Cricetulus griseus: one gene and its partner. The protein of the gene in region 2 interacts with the protein of the main gene of each other region in a pairwise test. Links are inferred from orthologs where the notes say so. Each region holds a gene or a part of one and is shown on either strand. Other genes may lie near its edges.

Evidence for each region.
Region 1: the proteins of Ppp1cc (region 2) and Sfrp1 interact in a two-hybrid assay, tested with the Homo sapiens proteins (2 studies listed by BioGRID). The link is inferred for Cricetulus griseus from reciprocal best matches to the Homo sapiens genes PPP1CC and SFRP1.

What each region holds. Positions count from the first base shown.
Region 1 is NW_023276807.1:60,334,746-60,345,532, forward strand, and holds the start of Sfrp1 (secreted frizzled-related protein 1), read right to left. Parts: upstream 4,968-10,787; coding exon 4,424-4,967; intron 1-4,423. UniProt on the Homo sapiens protein: Soluble frizzled-related proteins (sFRPS) function as modulators of Wnt signaling through direct interaction with Wnts. They have a role in regulating cell growth and differentiation in specific cell types. SFRP1 decreases intracellular beta-catenin levels.
Region 2 is NC_048597.1:102,004,969-102,015,493, forward strand, and holds the start of Ppp1cc (serine/threonine-protein phosphatase PP1-gamma catalytic subunit), read left to right. Parts: upstream 1-4,378; 5' UTR 4,379-4,600; coding exon 4,601-4,655; intron 4,656-10,525. UniProt on the Homo sapiens protein: Protein phosphatase that associates with over 200 regulatory proteins to form highly specific holoenzymes which dephosphorylate hundreds of biological targets.

The DNA of each region.
Region 1 (10,787 bases), on a different chromosome or scaffold from region 2:
ACCCCTCCAATTCCATCCCCCTTCCTACTTGCAAACTCTGAACAAGACAGCCCATCAATTTGACCAGGTCTTGGGGACCAAGAGAGGAGTCATACTCAATCACTCAAGCCCAGGGCCCTGAAGTGCCATAGAGACACTCCAGAAAGCAGGCTGTGTGTAGAGTGGGGGGATGGGAGGGGCCAGCCAGACCCACCAAATGGAGGGCAGAGCTGACCGAGAAGGAAACCCTTTAGATGATCTTTCATGAAGCACTTTGAAGAGAAGTGGGGGGGGGGGAAGCCACTGAGAGGTGACTAGGCCCCTGTGGGAAGCGGCTTCACAGGCCTCCTTGGAAAGGTAGAGAGAAAGTGTTTACAGGAGAATTGAAGTAGCTTATCATCTCCCTAAAATTCCTCCTTCTCATCACCTATCAAACAACTTAACAGTTTATTTGTGACCTAGAAAACCACAAGTACACTAAACATAGTCTATTCCTGGCATCCTGGACACTGGAGGCCAAATCCTGACTGGAGTTGAAAGGAAGTCACCCGAAGACAGTAGTCAAGGTGCGGTTTGGTGTGCTGAGCATCTGTGCTCACTGGCTTTCATTTCCTGTCACCTGTGGCTCACCAACACCATCCCTTTTCCCACCCCCTTCTCCATGGCTTAGGCTATGAAATGGGTACCCTCTTGGGTGCAGCTACTCCCCAGCCCACTCCCTCTAGGGCAGGGAACACATCTCCAGCCCATATCCACCAGTTTTCTCTCCCACATATACCATACTCTGGCAGCTGCCTTTCAAATTTGGGGGGCAGAAGCTAGCAAAACTCTTCGGGTCAGATGTTGGAAATATGTTTGTTTCACTCCCAGAGCTTGAAATTGGGTTCTGAAAGTGATGTTTCTGAATGACAACATAAAACCTCTTACTCAGAAATTTCCATCATGGTGTTTGCTTCCATGTAAAGAAAGGTAGAAAAAGGAAAGGAAGTTATAGACAGGATCATGAGACCTATAATAGGAAAAAGAACTGTGTGTTTGGGTTTCCTAGCTGTTATTATGATTGCTTTTTTTTTTAAGTAGACATTATCACACTGCAAAATTCAAGGTATAAAATGTTGAACAAAGGAGTAGCAAGGCATCCAAACATAAAGACCAAATCTTATCGGTCTCCTTCATACACCTCCAATTCTACTGGCACTCTGAGGATCTGCACCCCAACAGGACAGATGTTTCAGCCTGCAGATTCCTCCTGGCCTTCAATCGCTCTCAGTGCTGCTGCTGGTGGGGAAGGTGCAGGGTGGGAGTGGAACACCGTTTATTTTCAACATGGCTTTCCCTCTTCTCAATTTCTGCAGCCAGGAGCTGAGCAGCTTTCTCCAGAGGGAGAAGAATGTGTAATGCAATATTAATCTCTGCCCCTCATGTGTCTTTGGGGGCCCTGCAAGCCTACCTCACAGGAGGAATCTACTGAGACTTCCACTGGACAGGTAAACCAAAACATAGCTGTAAAGTGTGAAGCAAACGAATAAGACTAAGAGATTTTGTACTTTGTTAATGTCTACAAGAAAGTAGAGGGGAAAGCCAACGCTGGAATCAGGATTAAGATTACTTGTAAAATCAATGTGCACTAGGAGAGGAGAGAGTGGGAGGGAGGTGAAGGGAAAGAGATGGGGGAAGGGAAGGCAGGGAGATCGATTTTCCTTGGGCAGCTAGCTCTCTAAGGAGAGAGGAGGAGGTACCATAAGGAGCCTCTGGGAGAAGTGGGGGCTCCCTGGCCTCTCCAGCCTGTGACTACACAGCCTGGCTGACCTAATACACAACATACCTAAACAACACAACTGAACGCAATGGGCTCGTTCACACAACTCAGTGAAACCCGGCAGGGAAGGAGAACGACAATTTCCTAAGCTAGTCTAATGTATGTCCAAGATCTAGAAGTCGGTCTCCTGGGATGGATGGCACAATTCCCTTTCCTGTCACAGAAGCCAAGGTAGTGCGAGCAGCCTGTTTGAGAGAGAGGAAATCAAAGTCTTCGGCTCATTTCTCATGATCAGGCTCTTCTTTAATAACAACGAATGCCCCAGTATTCCTAAAACTGTATACTAAGATGTAATGCTGTGTTGAAATTTTGAGGTTTCAGTTTTAAGATAACAGGGTGGATGAGGACCAGAGAGTAGGCACCTGTAGGTAACTTACTATCATCTCAAAGTCCCAGGTCTTGTTCCAGGGCTACCAGTCTAAGGTTATGTGTCTTAATCTTCACTTATTCACACACAACTTAACTCTCAGCTAGCAGCGGGACAGCCCTTCAGGGCAAAGTGTGTGTAAGGGGGTTGTGCATCACATGGGACACCCTCATAATGGCAGTCTGACATTCTGGAGAGACATTGATGCCTCTCACAAAAGTCAAAATCACTTCAGAGAAAACCAGCCACAGCCACACTCCTACCAGACAACACACACACACACACACACACACACACAGAGAGAGAGAGAGAGAGAGAGAGAGAGAGAGAGAGGGGGGGGGTCTTTATTTAGCAAAGAAGTGCTCTACCTAAGCACCAGGCAAGGATGAACCAAACACATGGATTCACACAAAAGCATCCAGAAATGGGTTAGGGTGGGTGTGCCCTTTGCCCTGACAGATTTGGAGGGACTGGTTTGGGGGACCCTCAGAAACAGTGCCACTCCCTTCTGGTCCTCTTTTCTTGCCCCCAAACTTCAGCCACTTTACACAAAGCTGTTTCCCACAGGTTTGCACTTTATGCCCACCAATAACCTCAGAAAAGGGCAATCAATCAGTAGCCATGGGGAATGGAAGGAATACAAGCAAAGCTGGCCACAAGCTCTCCTGGCAGGCAGGAGTTAGGAAGGAAACTGTGGTCTGCAGGGGGTGGGGTGGGGAGGCTCAATGGGGATAGAAGAAGTCTAGGGAAATGCTCAACCCCCAGAGAGCCGTGTCAAAAGACTGCACATACCAGCCCTGAGGACAGGGGTGCCCAGGGCTACCATTTACCTTACAGGCTGGGACCCATGCCAGACGAGGGCAATCACTTTGGACCTACCTTCCTCCCCAGAATGAATAGGAGCCGTTCAAACGTCCCTCACGTCTACCCCAATCCTCACTCTGTGGCAGCCAAATGAGGCACTAAACAAGAGGCACTTGGCAGTGCAAGCCTGTAATCCCAGAGCTGAGGAGGCTGAAACAGGAGGAATTTGTGTTCAAGACCAGCCTGGGCTGCACACCAAGAGATTAAGACCCTGCCTCAGAAAGCCAAGACACTCAACACTTTAAGATAAGCTAAAGTATCCTCTTCAGAAGTGGCCTTGGGGTACCCTCTCCTGTGATAAGGGCCACTGGACAAGAGTATCTGCTATTCCTGAGCCTCATCCCACAGCAATGAACCCATTCCCAAGGAACTGGGCCAGGGCTGCTGTAGGGCTTGCTGCTTTGGGTTCTGTGCATGTTTTTGTTTTTTGTATCCAGATTCTCTCTCTCTCTCTCTCCCTCCCTCCCTCCTCCTCCTCCCTCCCTCCCTCCCTCCCTCCCTCCCTCCTCCCTCTCTCTCTCTCTCTCTCTCTCTCTCTCTCTCTCTCTCTCTCTCTCTCTCTCTCACACACACACACACACACACACACACCTTTAAATACCGGGTTCCCAGAACAAATTCTACTCCCCCAGGGTTCAGAATTTGCAGCACCCAATTTGCAGTTCCTCACCCCCCAGGAGGAGATAAACAATGAGCTAATTACATTTTTATCTTTCTAATTACCCAAGGATTTGTGTGAATGGGAGACGCAGGGGGTATGGAAGGATGGTGGACACGAGATTTTTGCATCCCCTAGATTTGCTAAATTCAAGGCTGTAGCCTGAGTTTAGAGGCGAAGAAACAGAAGTGGCTCTTTCTAAACTTCATTTCCTCAGCCAGTTCTGCAACACGAATGGAAGATAAACTAAGGAGAGGGGGTGTTTTGTTGCTGCTTGTTTTGCTTTTAGAAAAAAAAAAAAAAGACTTTCAAACTTATGAAAACAAACACAGGTTTCCCTCAGTCTGAGGTTTTTTGCAGTTTGGATGAGTTGTTTTCCTAGGGAGCAGTCTCTGTTTCGGATGTTAAGAGCTTTGGGTGGACACCCTCATTTTCTTCAAAACCTAAGGCTTAGCTTTGTTACAGGTATGGAAAACGCCAGACTGGAGCCCAGGAAGGGCAGCTCCAGGTTCACCCAACTCCCCCCGCCGTCCCCCCCCCCCCCCCGCACCTCACCCCCAGGGCCGAGGCTCCCCAGCAATCTCGAGGTACCTGGGCCAGTAGAAGGGCCAAGTGACGCCCGGACCTCCTAAAAGCTTTCGGGATCGAGTCTGCACACCTTGCGGGCTGTGGTGCACAGCTCCCTGCTATCCCCGCTGCAGCAGGGGCTCGCGGGCGTGGGAAGGAACACCCTTACCTTGGGGCTTCGAGGCTTCAGTGGCATTGGGCGGGGTCATGGCAATGCAGACGTCTCCCTCGGGGAACTTGTCACACTTGAGCATCTCGGGCCAGTAGAAGCCGAAGAACTGCATGACCGGCTCGCACGAGTCGCGCACGGCCTCGCAGAGCCAGCGGCACGGGTAGATGGGCCGGTCCAAACAGACGGGCGCGAAGAGAGAGCAGAGGAAGACCTGGGTGCCCATGTGGCAGTTCTTGTTGAGCAGAGGCACCCAGCTGCTGGCCTGCTGCTTCACCTCTGCCATGGTCTCATGCTCCAGCAGGTTGGGCAGCACCATCTTCTTGTAGCCCACGTTGTGGCACAGCCTCAGGTCCACCGGGATGTCCACGCACTGCGGAGGCTTGGTGTAGAAGCGGCCGCTCTGGTACGAGCCGATGTCCGACTGGAAGCTCACGTAGTCGTACTCGCTGGCCGAACCCGCGGCCAGCAGCGCGGCGACCAACGCCAGCAGCACTCCGGAGGTGGCCCCGCCACGGCCCCGCGCGCTGCGCCCGCTGCCCATGCTGCTCGGCGACGTCGGGGCTGCCCGCGCTGCCTTCACTCGCGCGTCCCGCTGCAAACTTCCCGGAGCCTCCGGGGACAAAGGCGCAGTGGCCGGCCCCGTCCGGCTGGCGGCCGCGCGCTGCTCCCCGAGTCTGGAGCCGATGGGGCCCTCGGAAGCCGCAGGCCGCGGCGGGACTGGAGCAGGGCAGGGAGCGCGCGGGACGGATCGAGTGCCGTCCCGGCTCGTGGAGGCGCGGCGGGCTGCGGGCGGCTGCACCTACTTGCGACGCTGCAGCCCGAGTGCGCGGTGTGCGGGTGGCCGAGCCCTGGATCTCCCGCGCGCAGCCAATCAGCTCCGCGCTGCCGGGAGCCGCTCTCCACACCGCGTCAGTCAGCCGCGCATTTAACCAATCGCGGCGCTGGCCAGAGGGATCGGTTTACTAGAACTAGACACAGGTCAACACCCCTTAAAAAGCAAAACCAAAAACTAAGCAAATACTTCGAAGAAGGCAAATGCAGAGAAAAGAGAGTAGTTGGAAGTGTGGGGTGGATAAAGACGATGTTGGACGCTGTAATGAACGTGAATCAGTTTGTTTAAAAAAAATCTTCATAATGCTTGCAAATTGATGCGATTGTGAAGACTTTTTTTTAACACGTTTTCCTAATTCCAAGCAACAGCCCAACATAACAGAAATTCTCCGCTCCGCGGTTTATTCTTTGACGCTTATGTACAGAAGCAGGCTGCTTCTCAGCTACTCGGATGGACAAACTGAACTTAGGGGCGTCTTTTAAATTCCCTAATAAAAGCCTGGGCTTTTGCAAAGACTAAGGGAAGGTGCGTCTAAAATACAACACCTTTCCGGGTGACAGGAAGCAGAACGGGAAAGGGAGGACAATACTGCTGACATGTGTTAGTTTTGGAAGACAGTTTACATTTTTAAACAATATTTTAAGACCCTACACAAGTCCCAGTCAGCTGACAACATATCTACTTACAAACATACACAATGATATGTTTGTAGATTAGAAAGCCAAAGCAAAACAAAAAACAAAACAAAAACCACAGGAGCACTTCACCGGCATGGCTGGGTGGATACTAACTGTATCAGTCAGATATACATGCTAATTCAGAGGCAGTCTAGGTCACAACCTAAGGTATATCGGCCACCCCACCACAGGCAGAAGCCAAGCAGGCAGGAATAGCCTCCCCTGCCCTCACTAGTCACTTCCTGGGAATTACTTGAGTGCCTTAAAATCAGAGAGCTAGGGGTGTGATCAAGAATGGACAGGAGAAGGTACAAGCAGTTCTTGAAGTTCTCTGCTGTGTCTGTCCTTCAGGGTGACTGGAGGGGTAGCCAAGGAGGCAGTGTGGTGCCACACCAGGTGGCAAATGGGCTACCACTCTTAGTTGCAAGGCAGGACACAGCTGGAGTTGCTGCTGGCCCAGGCAGCTTGATTATAAAGCTCTGGGGACTCTTACTTGCAACTCTATAGACCTAATTTCTTGGTTCCAAGTAAAAGCCCTGGAGCTTGCAAAGATGCAGGGATTTTTTTTTTTTAAAGCAATCACACACACACATGCAGACGATGTGTGACTCCACTGCACAACCGGGAAGCAGCTGCAGGTGGTCACCATGTCTATCCTTCCCAGGCCCAAAGACAAACAGGCAGATTTGGGTTACAGGGAAAGGTCGGGCAGAGCAAGGCTGTGGATGACCAGGGGTTAATCAAGAAACGACCTGCAATGCTGTCCTGCCTAAGGAGCTAGGAAACCACATTCTTCACAGAGAATAGAGACAGGAGACCAGGACTGGGTCTCAATTCAACCAGCAGGGCTAAAACTGTTTGCTAGAGCACCCTTTTTCTCTCCTCAGGCTAGACCCTCTTTCCAGGCTAAAGTGTCTGTTTGCTCGCTCATTGGAAAGATTAGCATTAGAAGATAAAGAGCCTTTTCCCTCTGAATCAAGGTTGAGCCCACCCCTCACTTACTTGTGTACAATTCCCCCAAATAGCTGGACTTGGGTCTACCCTCAGGTACAATGCTGGGAATGAGTGCAGGTGAGTTCACAAATCCATTCTCAGGAAGAAGTAGTCTACATCCAGTCAGCCTTGTTGACTTAGATGCCCCAGTGTTCACCTCTGTGCTTTGCCCTCTGGCATTCTGCCATGGATACAACTGTCAGTTCAGATGAGGAATGTCAGTAGTTGTGTATTTCTGAATCCTTCTAAGGTCCATATGGGAAGGAAGACAGAGTCTTGATGTCCATCCCACTTGAGATGAAAAATGTCCCTGTAGGCCACCCTGCAGGACAGTGTCAGCCAAGGCAGGCTACACATACTTTCTAGTTTTCGTATCACTAGACTGTAGGCACATTTTTCATCGGGACTGTCAGCTCCCCAATAATGACACAGAAACTTATTAATTATGAAAGCTTGGCCGATAGCTTAGGCTTGTTTCTAACTAGCTCTCATAACTTAAATTAACCCATTTCCTTTTAATCTACTTCTTTTATGTGGCTCGGTTGCCTTTACTTTGTAATGCCGGTGCTGCTTCCCTGTGTCCTTGTGTCTCCCCCTCCCAGTGTCCTCTGTGCCTGGAAATCCTGCCTAGCTATTGGCTGTTCAGCTTTTTATTAAACCAATCAGAGTGAGATATCTTTACACAGCATAATCAAATATCTCACGACACTAGATCACATGCTTTAAAATCTAATCTCCCTTTCATATACAAGAGAAAGTTCTAGAACAAGGGATGTTTAAAATGCTATTATCCTATCACAGCTCTCAGAAACCTTGGTTTCTGAGTTTGACAACTATAAATCAGGAGAAGCCCATGGCTTCCTCCTGCCCTAATAGTTTAGGTAAGCAGGGACAGCATGAAGCTTTACCCTTGCCTTTTTTTCACACAACTAGGTGCCTCTTCATGAAAACTGGGGAGCACTTTCTCTATTGCTTCACATCAGTTTAAGGGGGCATTTACCCATCTCAAAGCTGACAGGAAATCAGGGTCACTGAGGGGCTCCCAGTACCTAGCTGGTGGCTTCTTTCCACACAGAGAGCTTAAAATCGGGAGAGGAAGAACCTGCCTAGGCTGTGGCTCCTCTTCTGTTCCCTTAGCATTTCACCAGTGATTTGTAGGCCACTTCAGGAATAAGATGAGCAGACACTCACACTCTCAGATTAGCAGAGCTGCCAGGAACAGAAGGGTTACTTCCTGCCTACAGCCAGGTAGTGGTGGCTCTAGCATAAGGCAGAAAGGAGTTGGGAACCATGGTTTGTGGCTTCGGTTATGCCCCCAACACGTTTCCAGCTCCCAGGGTATGACCTGCTTCCATCTCTCTGGGTTTAACCCACTTGCCTGTGAGGAGAGCTAAGCATGCTTACTCGGCTACTTGTGACCTGATCTGCTACTTATGAAATACAGAGTGTGGCCTCTTGGCCTGGCCTAGTGGCACATGCTTTAACACCAGCACTTGGAAGGCAAAGATAGGAAGATCTCTGTGAGTTTGAGGCCAGCCAGGATGACACAGGGAAACACTGTCAAAAAATATTTTTAATTGAATTATCAGTATCCAGGACCATAAGAGGTACAGATTTGCAGTCAAGTATGAATGCCTTCACACAACACTCAATGTGAGACATTACAAAGTGTGTTGATGTTCTTACTTGGACAGGCTGCTTCTCCAGTCTACCTTGGAGTGATTAACTTTGAATTTCCTGACTCCTTTACCAATTGGCCTGCCCATCGATGGGTTTAGGAGTCTGGAATTCATCTTCAAACATCAGAGTCAGGCCTGGTTCTTTAAACCTACGACAAGGCGAGAATCCATGATGGAGAGGTCCAAAGCCCTAAAAGGGAAACTACAACTGTTATTTTGCTAAATGATCACAATGCTAAATTATCTCCCAAATACTTGTGTTTATGGCCATAACTTCCTGCTGCTCTCGATTTCATCAGAGATGCTTCTTATGCAGCAGGTGAGAGCTAGAGCAGACTCACAACTGGTCAAAACAAGTACATGACTATGCAGTGCAGCCCTGAGTAGGACAGTTGTATTACTTCCTCCAAGGCTTAGGCGGCATCTCAGAAGAGGGTACAGAAAGAATATAAGAGCCAAAGGATGGAGAGACGTACACCAAAAGGGACACCTTGTGGACATGGCATACCCAGTGCACTCATGAACTGACTGCGGCTGCACAAGGCTGAGCCCATCAACTTTTCCTCACAGATGGTGGAAGGGGCCTTTGCGGTCCTACTCCTCCCAGGGGTCTACTGGCGGCTAATGGTTGCTGAAGTAGAGGTATAATTTCCTTCAGTGTTGTAGCCACTTGTAAATAACTTCCTATAATGTGCATGCGAGCAGTTCTAATGGAATGCCATTGAGTGGATCACACACAAACAAAGACAACCAAGTAGAAAGGGGATTTACTGCAAAGAAGGATTTCAGGGGGCATGAGAGGGGGATGAGAGAGGGGAAAGTGGTGTCAGGGCCAAACGAAATCCCATTGTATACATCCCTTGGCAAGGTTCTTAGCTGGTGTAGCTGGGCATCTCAGCTGCCAACACCAGGCCTTCTTGTTTCTTTAGGACACAGCCACCCTGATGATGCAGTCCACTAGAAGTTTCTTCCTTCCCTGGAGGGGAACTTTACTCCCTGTAATACATCTCATGGGGCTGCATAGCGCTGGTTTCTATCTACACCCCATTGTGGTCCTGGGAAGACAGAATGAGCCATTTATTCCCTGGAGGGAGAGGCTGTGGACACTGTCCCTGCCTCGATGTTCAGAGGTGTGCTTCCCCACTCTCCAGAGAGTCTTTGTCAAGTTGAACTTAAACACTTGCTCATTCCTGAATACTATAATTTGTTTATAAATATATGAATTGTGGATCAAAGCTCTAAAAAGAACTAGACTTAAATCGCACAATTGGACACAAATTTGTAAAAATAGAAATTAAAAAGTCGAGTATTTCTATGATATAAACCCTGGATGACCCTTGGACTGTCTTCAGCTGCATTAGGACAACAATATGTGCCCTTCGGTGTGCTTCCGCAACTTCTCCTGCCCCCTTGGTCCCTCCCCACCTCTTTTGCTTGTCGCTTGCTTTTTTTTTTTCTCTGTGGTCCCCAGACTTACAAATAAAAACAGGATGCTGGTCAGATTTGAAACTGAGATAAACAATGAGTACTTTGTAGTGTAAGTATGCCTCATACAGTATCTGGGGACATACTTTTGCTTTAAAAATGCATTTGTTGTTTATCTAAAATCAGATTCTACTGGGTGTCCTGTATCTTTTCTTGGCAGTCCCACCTATTCCTGTCTCCAGTGATGCTTCCTATGGGCTGCTGTGCCTGGTCCTCTCTCCATCACTTCCCTCCTCTCTTCCTCCCTCCTCTCTCCTAGGCACCCAGGGCACCCATACAGCTCACAGCCACTCTCATGTCCACAATGTATAACTGCTGGTTTCTGGAAATTTGCTGCATGTCTGTGAGCTTATGGAGGGCAGGGCCTTGGTGTGCCTTGTCAACATGGGCTACATCCCAGCCCCAAGCACTGCCCCAGCTGTATATACATGGAATGTTCAGGCCCTTCCTCCTGGTACTACACATGAGGGTGGTAGAAGGCACAGACATGGTGGAGCACCACCTTTGAGCGCTGATTCTGCACTAAGATTTCTGAGAACCACAGCAGTAAGTATGAGCAGCAAGCTCATGTGGTTCCCTCCATTTCCAGGAAAGAAAAATACCTCCCAGGTCTGAATCCTACAGTGACTGATTGTTGGTGCCTTATATGAAGACCATAGAAAGCAAGTTGTCTGTATAGGCTCTCTTCTCTCCCC
Region 2 (10,525 bases):
AATAAGTATTTAAAATAGGAAGGAAAAGGAACACATGCCTGCTGGGACCCGAGGCAGCCAATTAACATTCCTGGCTGTAGAGATGGCCCAGTGGTTAAGAGCACTTGCTGCTTTTCCAGAGGACCTAGGTTTGATTCCCAGCACCCACATGGTGGCTCATAACCATCTATCACACCAGTTCTAGAGGACCCAATTCCCTCTTCTGACCTCCATGCAGGCCAAAGTGCATGCACATAAAATAAAAATAAATCTTAAAAAAAAAATTCCTGACTGTGGGTTCCTATGCTTCTAAAAAAGGATGTGAACTAGCAAATGAAGGGATGTCACACAAATGGACATAGCTTTGGTGCATGTCGAGGTTTCTGCTTAGTAGCAAGATAGGAACAGCCACCTAGCATATGAAATTCAATGTCCAGAATAGACCAAAACAGAAAGGAAACAGATTGGAAGTTACCAGGAGATAGAGTAGAAGATGGGAGGTGACTGGTAATGGGACAGGGTTTCTTTGCCATTGGTGAAGATATTTTAGCAATCAGGTCTGATCAGGTGGGGTAGGTCTGTCATTCCAACTGCTATGGACGATGAGGTCAGAAGACTACAAATTCAAGGTCAGCCTGGCAACTTTGTGAGACTGTGGCTTTTCAGTAAATCAGTGAAATGGGGTGGGAGGTGGAGCTCAGGGGTAGAGCAGTTCCCAGTCAAAGCGGGTCAGATCCCACAGCCTGAGGGATGGTAACAAGACAGAGAGCCTCGAGGGCCCTGTTACATCGGTCCGATGGAGGCAGGGAATAAAACAAAATAAGAAAACGACCTTCAATGTGAACAAGGGCAGCGATCTCTTAGGGGAATGGGTCTTGTGCATGGGGGGTGGGGGTGGGTATGGGAAGAGGAGCTTCTAGGGTGAAAGATTCCGTTCACAGGTTTGTTACCCTGCAGTCTCAAATTTGTAATTACCAATGGAGTTTGGTGTGGCCTTATCAGGAAGGGCCTGGATGTTCTCCTGGGAGAGGGGGAGATTCCTTAGTTTATGAGTCCATGCCACTCTTCAGGATCCAGTGAGGGAGCTAGAGGCAAGCAGATGATATCAGAGTATCCTTCCTTAGGAGGCCACACCACTTTGCACTTCCTTATCAGGATCTTCCTTGTTGGTCCTTAGCCTGCTCATGGCGGCATGGTGGCCAGGAAGCAGAGTCACAGGAAGGAAGCAGTCCTGTGCTCTTAACCAATGACCCATCTCTCCAGCAACTCCCTTTTAACAATTTAATTTTATGTACATTGTGGTTTTGCCTGAAGTCATGTCTGTGTGAGGGCATCAGATCCCTTGGAACTGGAGTTACAATTTGTGAGCTGCCATGTGGGTGCTGGGAATTGAACCTGAGACCTCTGGAAGGGCAGCCAGTGCTCTTAACCGCTGAGCCGTCTCCAACTTTGTTTATTGTTTCAAGAGGGTTTTCTTTGTGCAACAGCTCTGGCTGTCTTGGAACTCACTCTGTAGACCAGACAGATCTATTGATTTAAATATAGATTTAAAAAATCTGTATGTTCTCAGGGACACGCCTTTAATCCCAACACTTGGGAGGCAGAGGCAGGTGGATCTCTGTGAGTTCCAGGCCAGCCTGGTCTACAGAGTGAGTTCCAGGAGAGCTAAGGCTGTTACACAGAGAAAACAAAACACAACAAAACAAAAATCTGTATGTTCAGACTTCCTATAGGGACTGTGATGTGGCGGTATTGGTAGAGTGGTCTCCTGGCATGGGCTCTTTCTAGTATGGAATAGAGCAGGTTTGGCAGCCATACCTAGAATTTCAACATTCTGGAGGTGGAGGCAGGAGGAGGAGTAGCTGAAGGTCATTCTCTAACAGCTATGGGTTCCACCACTCTCAAGAGAGCCAATTCTCTGATGCTGGCATGGTTATGGACTCTGGAGGGGAACTGTCCCTTGAGGTTGCTTGATAGACAAAAAATTGTCCCCTGTACTGGCTCACTGTTATTTTCCTTTATCCGAGCATGGATTGAGTGACCTACACACCTACTGCTTGGCATCTAGAGAATTATGACAGTGTGGGCATAAAATTTAGAGTATTCCATTGGTTTCCCCATAGTAATGCACACAGTGTGTGCCACAGTTTGTTGGGCTCCTGAGGCTCCATTTAGGGATTTAATTAAACAAAAGACTGTGGATTCAGGCTATCCCTGGAATTTACCAGCTGTGTGACCTTCAACAAACCTTCTAGCCTTTCTATGCCTAGCTTTATCTGTAAAATGGGAATGATGGGGATATATAATCTCTGGGATTGTATTGGGGATTCAACGAGGTGATTCTGCTTTGTTTGACACAAGATTTTGTTCTGGAGCCTTGCCTAGCCTGCAGCTGGCCTCAAACTCACAAAGATATGCCTACCTTTGCCTCCCGGTGCTGGGATTAAAGGCATATACAACCATGCCCAGCCTGGAGGTAATTTTTTTATTAAAATATTTTATTACATTTTATTTATTTTGTATATATGTCTGCTTGGTGGTCAGAGGACAACCTCTCTTCATTAGGGTATTGGGGCTGGCAGGCTTGGTGGCAATCACCTTTACCCACTGAGCCATTTAGCTGGCTCGCACAACGAGACAATTTTTGGCTCATACAAATGAGAGTGCAGTGTCTCTATATGAATTTCCTCAGAAAGAAAGGCTTCCTCTGTTTTGTTCACCCTGCTCCACGCCTAGAAAAAACTCAGGAACAGAGTAGGCACTCTGTAAATATTTGTCTCCTTAGGGAACCGTCTTATATCCCTGTCCCCAAAGTGTCATTGGGAAGATACACTCTGCCCCAGAGGAGCCCAAGTCCCAGAAACTCCTTGAGAGCCAAACAAGATATTCACAGCAGGGCTTGGCATAGGCCCCAGACGTCAAGATGTCTACTGAGCCAGGTGCCTTGGAGTGACAAATGACACTTGTGGGACTGGTAGGCAAAAACATAGCTTGGGAGAGTAAGTTGGTGACTGAGTAAAATGGTGCAGGCAGTTGAGGGGAGCTGGGATGACTCCAGAAGCTCCACCGTTGGCGCCAGCAGCAGAAAGGAGGCCAGAGATCTGCAAGGGTGCACCCCATGCCATGCTGCTGTGGCCTGGTGAAAATGAATCTCCAGATGGGGAAGCCACCTTGCTAGGAACACACGGAAGGGAATCCGTGCATCCCTTTTGCTTTGAGAATCATGAGCTTTTGGAGTGGGGGGTGGGGAAGAGGATTTTTGTAAACTGTGAAGGGCTGCTTGGAGAGAGAAATGGGTCAGGTGGGTGTGCATTTTCAGATCCAGTTAGCCTGAGAGGCAGCACAGTTGGGGGCTCCCTGGAGAAGGGTGCCCTCGGGGAGGCGATGAAACCAGAGGCAAGCAGCAGTAGAATGTGCTGAAGCCCGGGGCGCACAGCAGCCTCTAACTCGCTTTCCTCCGCAAATTCCCATCTTATCTGCTGCCGTGCGCTCATTCAATCCAGCTCAGGCTAAATCCAGGGGAGAACATCACGGTTATTATATAACTTTCTGAGTTCAAGAAAGATAATCTAAAGATAGGTGACACCTTACAAAAGTCTCCCAACCTCTCCCTAAAATGTAAAACTGCAGAAGTGCACGCAAGAGGTACACAGTTACTGAATTATGCACTACTCACAATGGACTAACGTTTCTTTTATCTGGGGGAGGCTTTCTTTTTTTCAAATACTGGATCTTAGATACTTTATTGCAGTATTACGAAATCTTGGCAGTGCTGGGGATTGAACCCAGGGTCTCACACATACTAGACAAGCGTTCATACCACAGAGTCATACATACAGCTCTTCTTGCTCACCAATATGAGCCGGCATATTTGAATCCTCGACCCTCCAACTTCCTTCTCCTAAAGATCCTCCATGGACATCTCCAACCCAGATTGGTTCCGAGGGGTGGGTGACTGACTCCCTGGTGAGCTCCCACCCCGCCGAGTCTGCAGACATCTGCCCCAAATCAGCAGCACCGGGAGGAGATCTTAACTCTAGCAACGAGCAGCCGCCGGACAATACCCGTCTTTAACTCGCGCGCGCGCCAACTTTGCAACTTCACTCTCCCGCGGGGGGTGGGGTGGGGGTGGGGGTGGGGGCGGGGGGGTGGAGGGTGGGGGTGGGGGTCTATTCCCCGCCCCACCCTCCACTCCCGTCCCCCACCCCCACCCCCCGCCCGTTTGGCGGAAGGATCCCGCGCGCGGATGGGTGTCTCACCGTCTCTGCCAGGCCCCGCCCCTGAAGCGCGAAGGCCGCCCCCTCCCGCAGCGGCCCCGCCCTCCCGCGCCCTATGGGCCTGAAGTCCCGGCCGCCGCTGCACTCCCCGCGCGCGCATCCGTGCGCCGCCCGAGGCTGGCCTGACGAGTCGGCGGCCATTTTGTTCTTCTCGTGGTTCCAGTGGCGAGAGGAGGAGGAAGCCGGGAGCGGGGCGGCTGGGGGGGGGACCCGCCGCGGCTGCTGCTGCCACCGCCGCCGCCACCACCGCTCGTGGGGCTCGTGGCGTGAGGAAGGAGGACGTGTGAGGCCCGGGCGCGAGCCGGCGGCGGCGCCGCTGCGGGAGGGTCGGCGGCAGGACGGCGATGGCGGATATCGATAAACTCAACATCGACAGCATCATCCAACGGCTGCTGGAAGGTGAGCGGCGCGCGGGCGGGCGGGCGGGCGGGGCCGGTGGGACCAGGCCCGGTGGGGACCGGTCCTCGGAAGCCGCTTGGATCTGGGGCGCGCACACAGCGCCTCCGGGTCTAGGGACAGACCCCTTGTTTTTATTACTGCCTCTCCTGCCCTTGCTCTCACATTGTGATAAATCTGGAGTCCAAGGACCCAGTGTGACTTGGCGGGGCGACGTCCCGGGGCGACGAGAGCCCCGTCCCTTGCATCCCCCCCCCCCAAAAAAAAGCCATCCTCCCTCCGGCGCTCTTTCCCCTTGAACGTGCATCCGCACACGGGCCGAGCCGCGACCGGGGTGACAGTGTCTGTGGCTCTCTGCTCATCAGATTGTTGTCCCGAGGAGAGGGGCGCGCTGCTGCATTCAGCGAGCGCCCTGCCAGGTAGGTGCTGTTATCTTGGAAGAAACTTAAAAGACCTCGCCTGACCAAGGGCGAGTCCCGCTTCAAACCCCTGGTAGCCAAGGTCTAGACACGACCTGCCTGCCCTCTTCCACTGTTCACCCTGTGGGAGCGCAGGGCATGCGTGCCTAGTGGCTAAGGGAAGGTTAAAAATCTTTTCTTTTGTCCGACTTATGACGGGGTGGGTGGGGGGCGCTGCAGTGGGTTCCTAGTTGGTGAGAGATTAATATGACATAGGGACTCCCCACAATTCCCGACCTAATGCTGATTGGGTTCTTGACAATGTTATTAACTAGCTGGCTTTTGCTGCTTTTGCCTAAAATACTGTTGGCGTGTAAGAAACATGCCGTGAGTGGTGGTGGTGAACAGCTGCAGAGTCATTGAAAGAAAAGTAAAAAGTGTCTTTTTAATCTGTGCATTTTCTCCCCTAATACTTTATTTTATTGCTTTGTTTAGATCGGGTCTTTTTTGTTTTTGGCTTTGTTGAGACAGGGTCTCTGCAGTCCTGGCTGTCCTGGAGCTCGATGTGTGTAGATCAGGCTAGCCTCAAACTCTCAGATCCCTCTGCCTCCCCTTCCTGAGTGCTGGGGATTAAAGGCTTTTATCATCATTTCCCCTAGATAAAGTCCCACAGAGCCAGAACTGGCCTTGAACTCCTGATCCTTGTGCCTCCTCCCAAGTACTAGAAGTTATAAGCCACCAAGCCTGGGTTATGAAGTCCTGAGGATTGAACCCAAGGCTTCTTCCTACACGCTGAGTAAGCATTCCATCACCTGGGCTGCATCCCCAGCTCAGATTTCGTTGTGTTTTTTTTTTTTTTTTTTTTTTATGTTTAACACTATGCTGAAAAAGTTTTAGCAGTAAACTTGGCTCATCTTTTGTTTTTAAATTTATTTTTCACATGGGATGTGTGTGAGTGCACCCAGGCCACAGCACCCGGGATTAGAGGACAATTGGGTGTGTGTAGTTTGTTCTTATCTTTGTGTAGGCTTGCTTCATCAGCTTTCCTTTCTCCCCCTTTAAAAATTTTTGTTTTTAGATTTTATGTTTTAAGCTTTGTCTTCATATGTATGTGTTTACCACATGCATGCCTATAACCAAGGAGGTTAGAAAGGGGCATTGGGTCCTCTGGGGCTGGAGTTAGATGGTTGTGAGCCACTATCTGTGCTGGGAGCGTAGCCAGGGTTATCCCCAAGAGCAGCAAGTGCTCTTGGCTGCTGAACCATCACCTCAGCCCCCCCTTCTTTTTTCTTTTTTTTTTATGGGGGGAACAGGTTTGAAGACAGCTTTTTTCTACATAGATCAGGCTGGCCTTGAACTCAGCTCTGGGATTAAAGGTGTGTGCCACCATTGATGGGCCCCTATAGTTTCTTGAATGTTACTTTTTAAATTTTGAGACTGAGTGTCACTACCAAGCAAAGGCTAACCTGAGATTTACAGAGATCTGCCTGCCTCTGCCTCCTATAAGTGTTGGAATTGGAGACTTTACCACCATGTCCAGGCTGGTTTTTTATTTTCTTTTGAACTTAATAGAGTAGGATACTATATTTAAATGCTTTGAGAATAAGCTAGTTGCACAGTATATGTTTCTTCTTATTTCTGTATGTGAACTTAACAAAACCACAGCCTTCTGTTGAGGATGTGTGTGCTTCTCCATTAGAGAATGTGGTGTTGTGCTCTCTCTACTTTGTGTACCATCTTTAGGGCCGTCATCTCTGAACACTGGGAGTGAGATTTAAGTAATTCATAGACTCTAGAGATGGCTCAGCTGATAATTAGTGGCTCTGCCCTTAACCACGAAGACCTGATTTGATCCTCAGGACCCACAAGAACTTGAGAGGAGAACCAGACTCTCGCCTGCTTCCCTCCCTCCCCAAACGCTCCCAGCAAGTGTGTACTTGCACACCTCTACATAGTAAAATGAAATTCAGGGTTTAATTCCAAAAGGTGGAGATAAGATTTGTCACTTGATGAGGCATTTTTTCCAATTGATAATTGATTCTTTTGTAGTTGGGCACCTTACTGCCCCAACACTCTGGAGCCTGGGACACGGAAATGCAGACATTCTAGGCCAGGCTGTGTTGGATAGCAATATCTGTCTCACAGTTGGAACCCTTCCTCAAGAACTCCCAAACTTAAGAGCTATGAACGAGCTGAGAAAGGGCTTTGCAAGCGAGGGCTGTATGAACGAGATGGGACAGGGTCTTTAATAATGAGGTGTGGCCATGTGGCACACTCCTTCATCCCAGAGCGGTGAGCTGGGAGGCCAACCTGGTCTACACACCAAATTCCATGCCAGCCAGCTATCCATAGTGAGACCCTGTCTCAAAAAATCAAGGGCTGGAGAGATGGTTAAGAGCATGTTATTCTTCCAGAGGATCCAAGCTCAATTACCAGCACATGGGGCAGCTCAGTGCCTGCTATTCCAGCTCTAGAAGATGAGACACCTGGCCCCCCGATACATACATGTCATACATACATACATGTCGTAACTTGTACAGACAGATGATTAAAGATAAATTTTAACCTGGACATGGTGACACATTTTTAATCTCAGTACTGGGAAGCAGAAGCAGGTGGAACACTTTCAAATCCAGCCTGGTTTACAGAATAAATTCCATCCAGGCCACCCAAGGCTAAATAGTGACATGGTATAAACCTGTAGTCCCAGGCACTTAGGTGGAATCAGGAGGTCAAGGCTAGCTTGGACCACAGAGACCTTGTCTGACAAAACAAATAATGGGAAATTGGGGTTGGATGGTAAACACTAGTGCTTTGCAGCACTCTAACTGCAGTAGCTTTCTCCTGAGCCCCGTCCCTGTGTGGTCAGCTACTCTGATGGAAGGTCTGTTACTCTATAGCACATTCTGGTGTTAGCACGTTGCCAGCTCTATGTTCAAGCAGAACAGATTTAAATAGGAAATAGGCTAGCTGGGTTTGGCCTGGCCTCCTGCTCTGTTGTATTGGTTAAAGGGGGAGTGCGTGGAATTGGGGCACTTTCTTCGTGAAACCTCTAGCATTTTTCTTGAGTACTAAGTGTTTGTAATTGCTTCACATCTTGAGTGGGCAAGAAGTGTGTTTCTTAGCCAGGCCATGGCCATGGTGGTGCACACCTTTAATCCCAGCACTTGGGAGGCAGAGGCAGACCGTGAGTTAGAGGCCAGCCTGGTCTCCACAGTGAGTTCCAGGACAGCCAAGACTGTTACACAGAGAAACCCTGTCATGAAAAACCCATTTTTTAAAAAGTATGTTTTTGTAAAGGAAGGTCAGGAGAAGTGGCTGCGTTAATACAGAGTGCTTGCCAATTCTCATCTTTCTGAAGACAGTCTGAAGTCCTAAAAGTCTCCAAATCTGTGTGTGGCTATTCAGTGCTCCTGTTCTGTAGGTTCAGAAGCCTGTAGTTAAGGTCCTATAGGAAAGATAAGTGAGGACCATGGGCTTGGCTGTATTGAAGCAGATCTTAAAACTGAGCAGAGTCCACAGCAAGATAATTCTAACAGGGACTTCCTGTGCTTCCCAGCATGGACAGGTGTGTCCCCCCCATCCCTCACCTGGAAGGCAGAGCAGGACTCCCTCCCTTCCCTCATGATCTGCAGGTACTTTGGGGCCTTTTTTAAAAACCCACTTTGGCAAGGATGACTCCCAGAGTCTGACTGCCCCTTTGCTTGGGGGACGTGGGGTAGCAGGGCAATCCTAGGCTTTAATTGATTAATGCTGGGGCTGCTGGTATACTTCTCAGTCTAAAAATATGAGGGAGAAAGGCCCAGGTGGGGACTGCCTTGGAGCTACAGAAACCCCACAGAGGCCCCTTAAAGAAAGCAGATCCTTTTTTTTTTTTCTCTTGGTTTTTCGAGACAGGGTTTCTCTGTGTAGCTTTGGAGCCTATCCTGGCACTCGCTCTGGAGACCAGGCTGGCCTTGAACTCACAGAGATCCGCCTGCCTTTGCCTCCTGAGGGCTGGGATTAAAGGCGTGCGCCACCAACGCCTGGCTTGGAAGGAATTTTTGTCTTCATCTTGAGGTCATAACTGTGTGTCAGGAGGGTGGAGGCAAGATATGCCTTCATAGGTTCTGTGGATGTTTCCCCCTCCATTTTTGAAGGGTGTGAGTAATTTTAGGGCTTACCCAAGAGCCCTAAAGAGAAATTCATAGGATCAGATGGGCAAGGTACTGATGCCCAATTATGTTCAGCTGTGGATAGGTTCAACCTTTTTCTTTCAAGACATATTCTAATGCTGCCTTTCCACTCCCTTTGTAGTTGAGAATGACCTTGGACTCTTTGACCCTCCTGCCTCCCACCTGAAGGATGACTTTGCAGAGGTGATGGCCCAATACCTGGTTTAGGCTAAATACGCTGTTTTCAGTGTGTTGCTTTGTGTTTGGCATAGAAAACAAGAGGCATCCTTGAAATTTTTGGCTAGAGCTGCTGCTGCTGCTGCTTCTTTCTTCTTCAGGGTTTCTCTGGGTAACAGCTCTGACTGTACTGGAACTCACTTCGGAGACCAGACTGGCCTCAAACTCACTGAGATCTGTCTGCCTGCCTCTGCCTCTCAAGTGCTAAGAGCTTTTTTAGGCATATCCCAATTGCCCACATTCAGGAAGCCAGAGTTAAAGTGTACATGGTGGCAGCAGCCAGCTGGCAGGGGTGGTGTGCAACAGTGAGGTGGGAAGAGGTACTTCCCTTTGGTAGTTGGGAGGAAAAGAGGGTTCTTGGGAAGTTTCTATAGCTTGTATGTTTTGTAGAAAATAACTTGTTGTTCATGAGAAAGTGTACAGTGTTGCAAACATTTACTAAGTTTATTTGGTTTGAGATCCTTTTTGTTTTGTTTTTTGATACAGGGTTTCTCTGTATTAATAGCCCTGGCTGTGTGGAACTCTCTCTGTAGACCAGGCTGGCCTCAATCTTTTTCTAACAATTTTTAAAATACTATGAAAGTAACAGGTTTTTGTTTTGTTTTGGCTTCGTTTTGGGACAGTGTCTCAGTGGCTATGGAGCCTGTCCTGGAAGTGACTGTGTAGACCAGGCTAGCCTTGAACTCATAGAGATCCACCAGCCTCTGCCTCCCCAAGTGTTGGGGCTACAGGTGTGTGCCGCCACCACCCAGCTAAAGTAACTTGTTTGTTTGTTTGTTTGTTTGTTTGTTTGTTTGTTTTAAAAACAGGGTCTCATTATGTATGTAGGTCAGGCTGGCCTTGGACTCACAGAGATCTGCCTGACCCTGCCTCCCCAGTGCCGGGACTAAAGTTGCTGGTGTGCTTGGCTGACTGCTGCTTTAGGGTCCCGTTTTGGCACAAGACAGCAAGGGCTGCTGACTCCTTCTTTGTGTGCTGCTGCTTTTTGTTCCAGATCTCATTGTGATTCATGTAGGGTTTTTGTCCTGTTCTTTTAATTGAGATGGAGATTCCTGTGTCCTAGGCGGGCCTAGACACTTCTGTG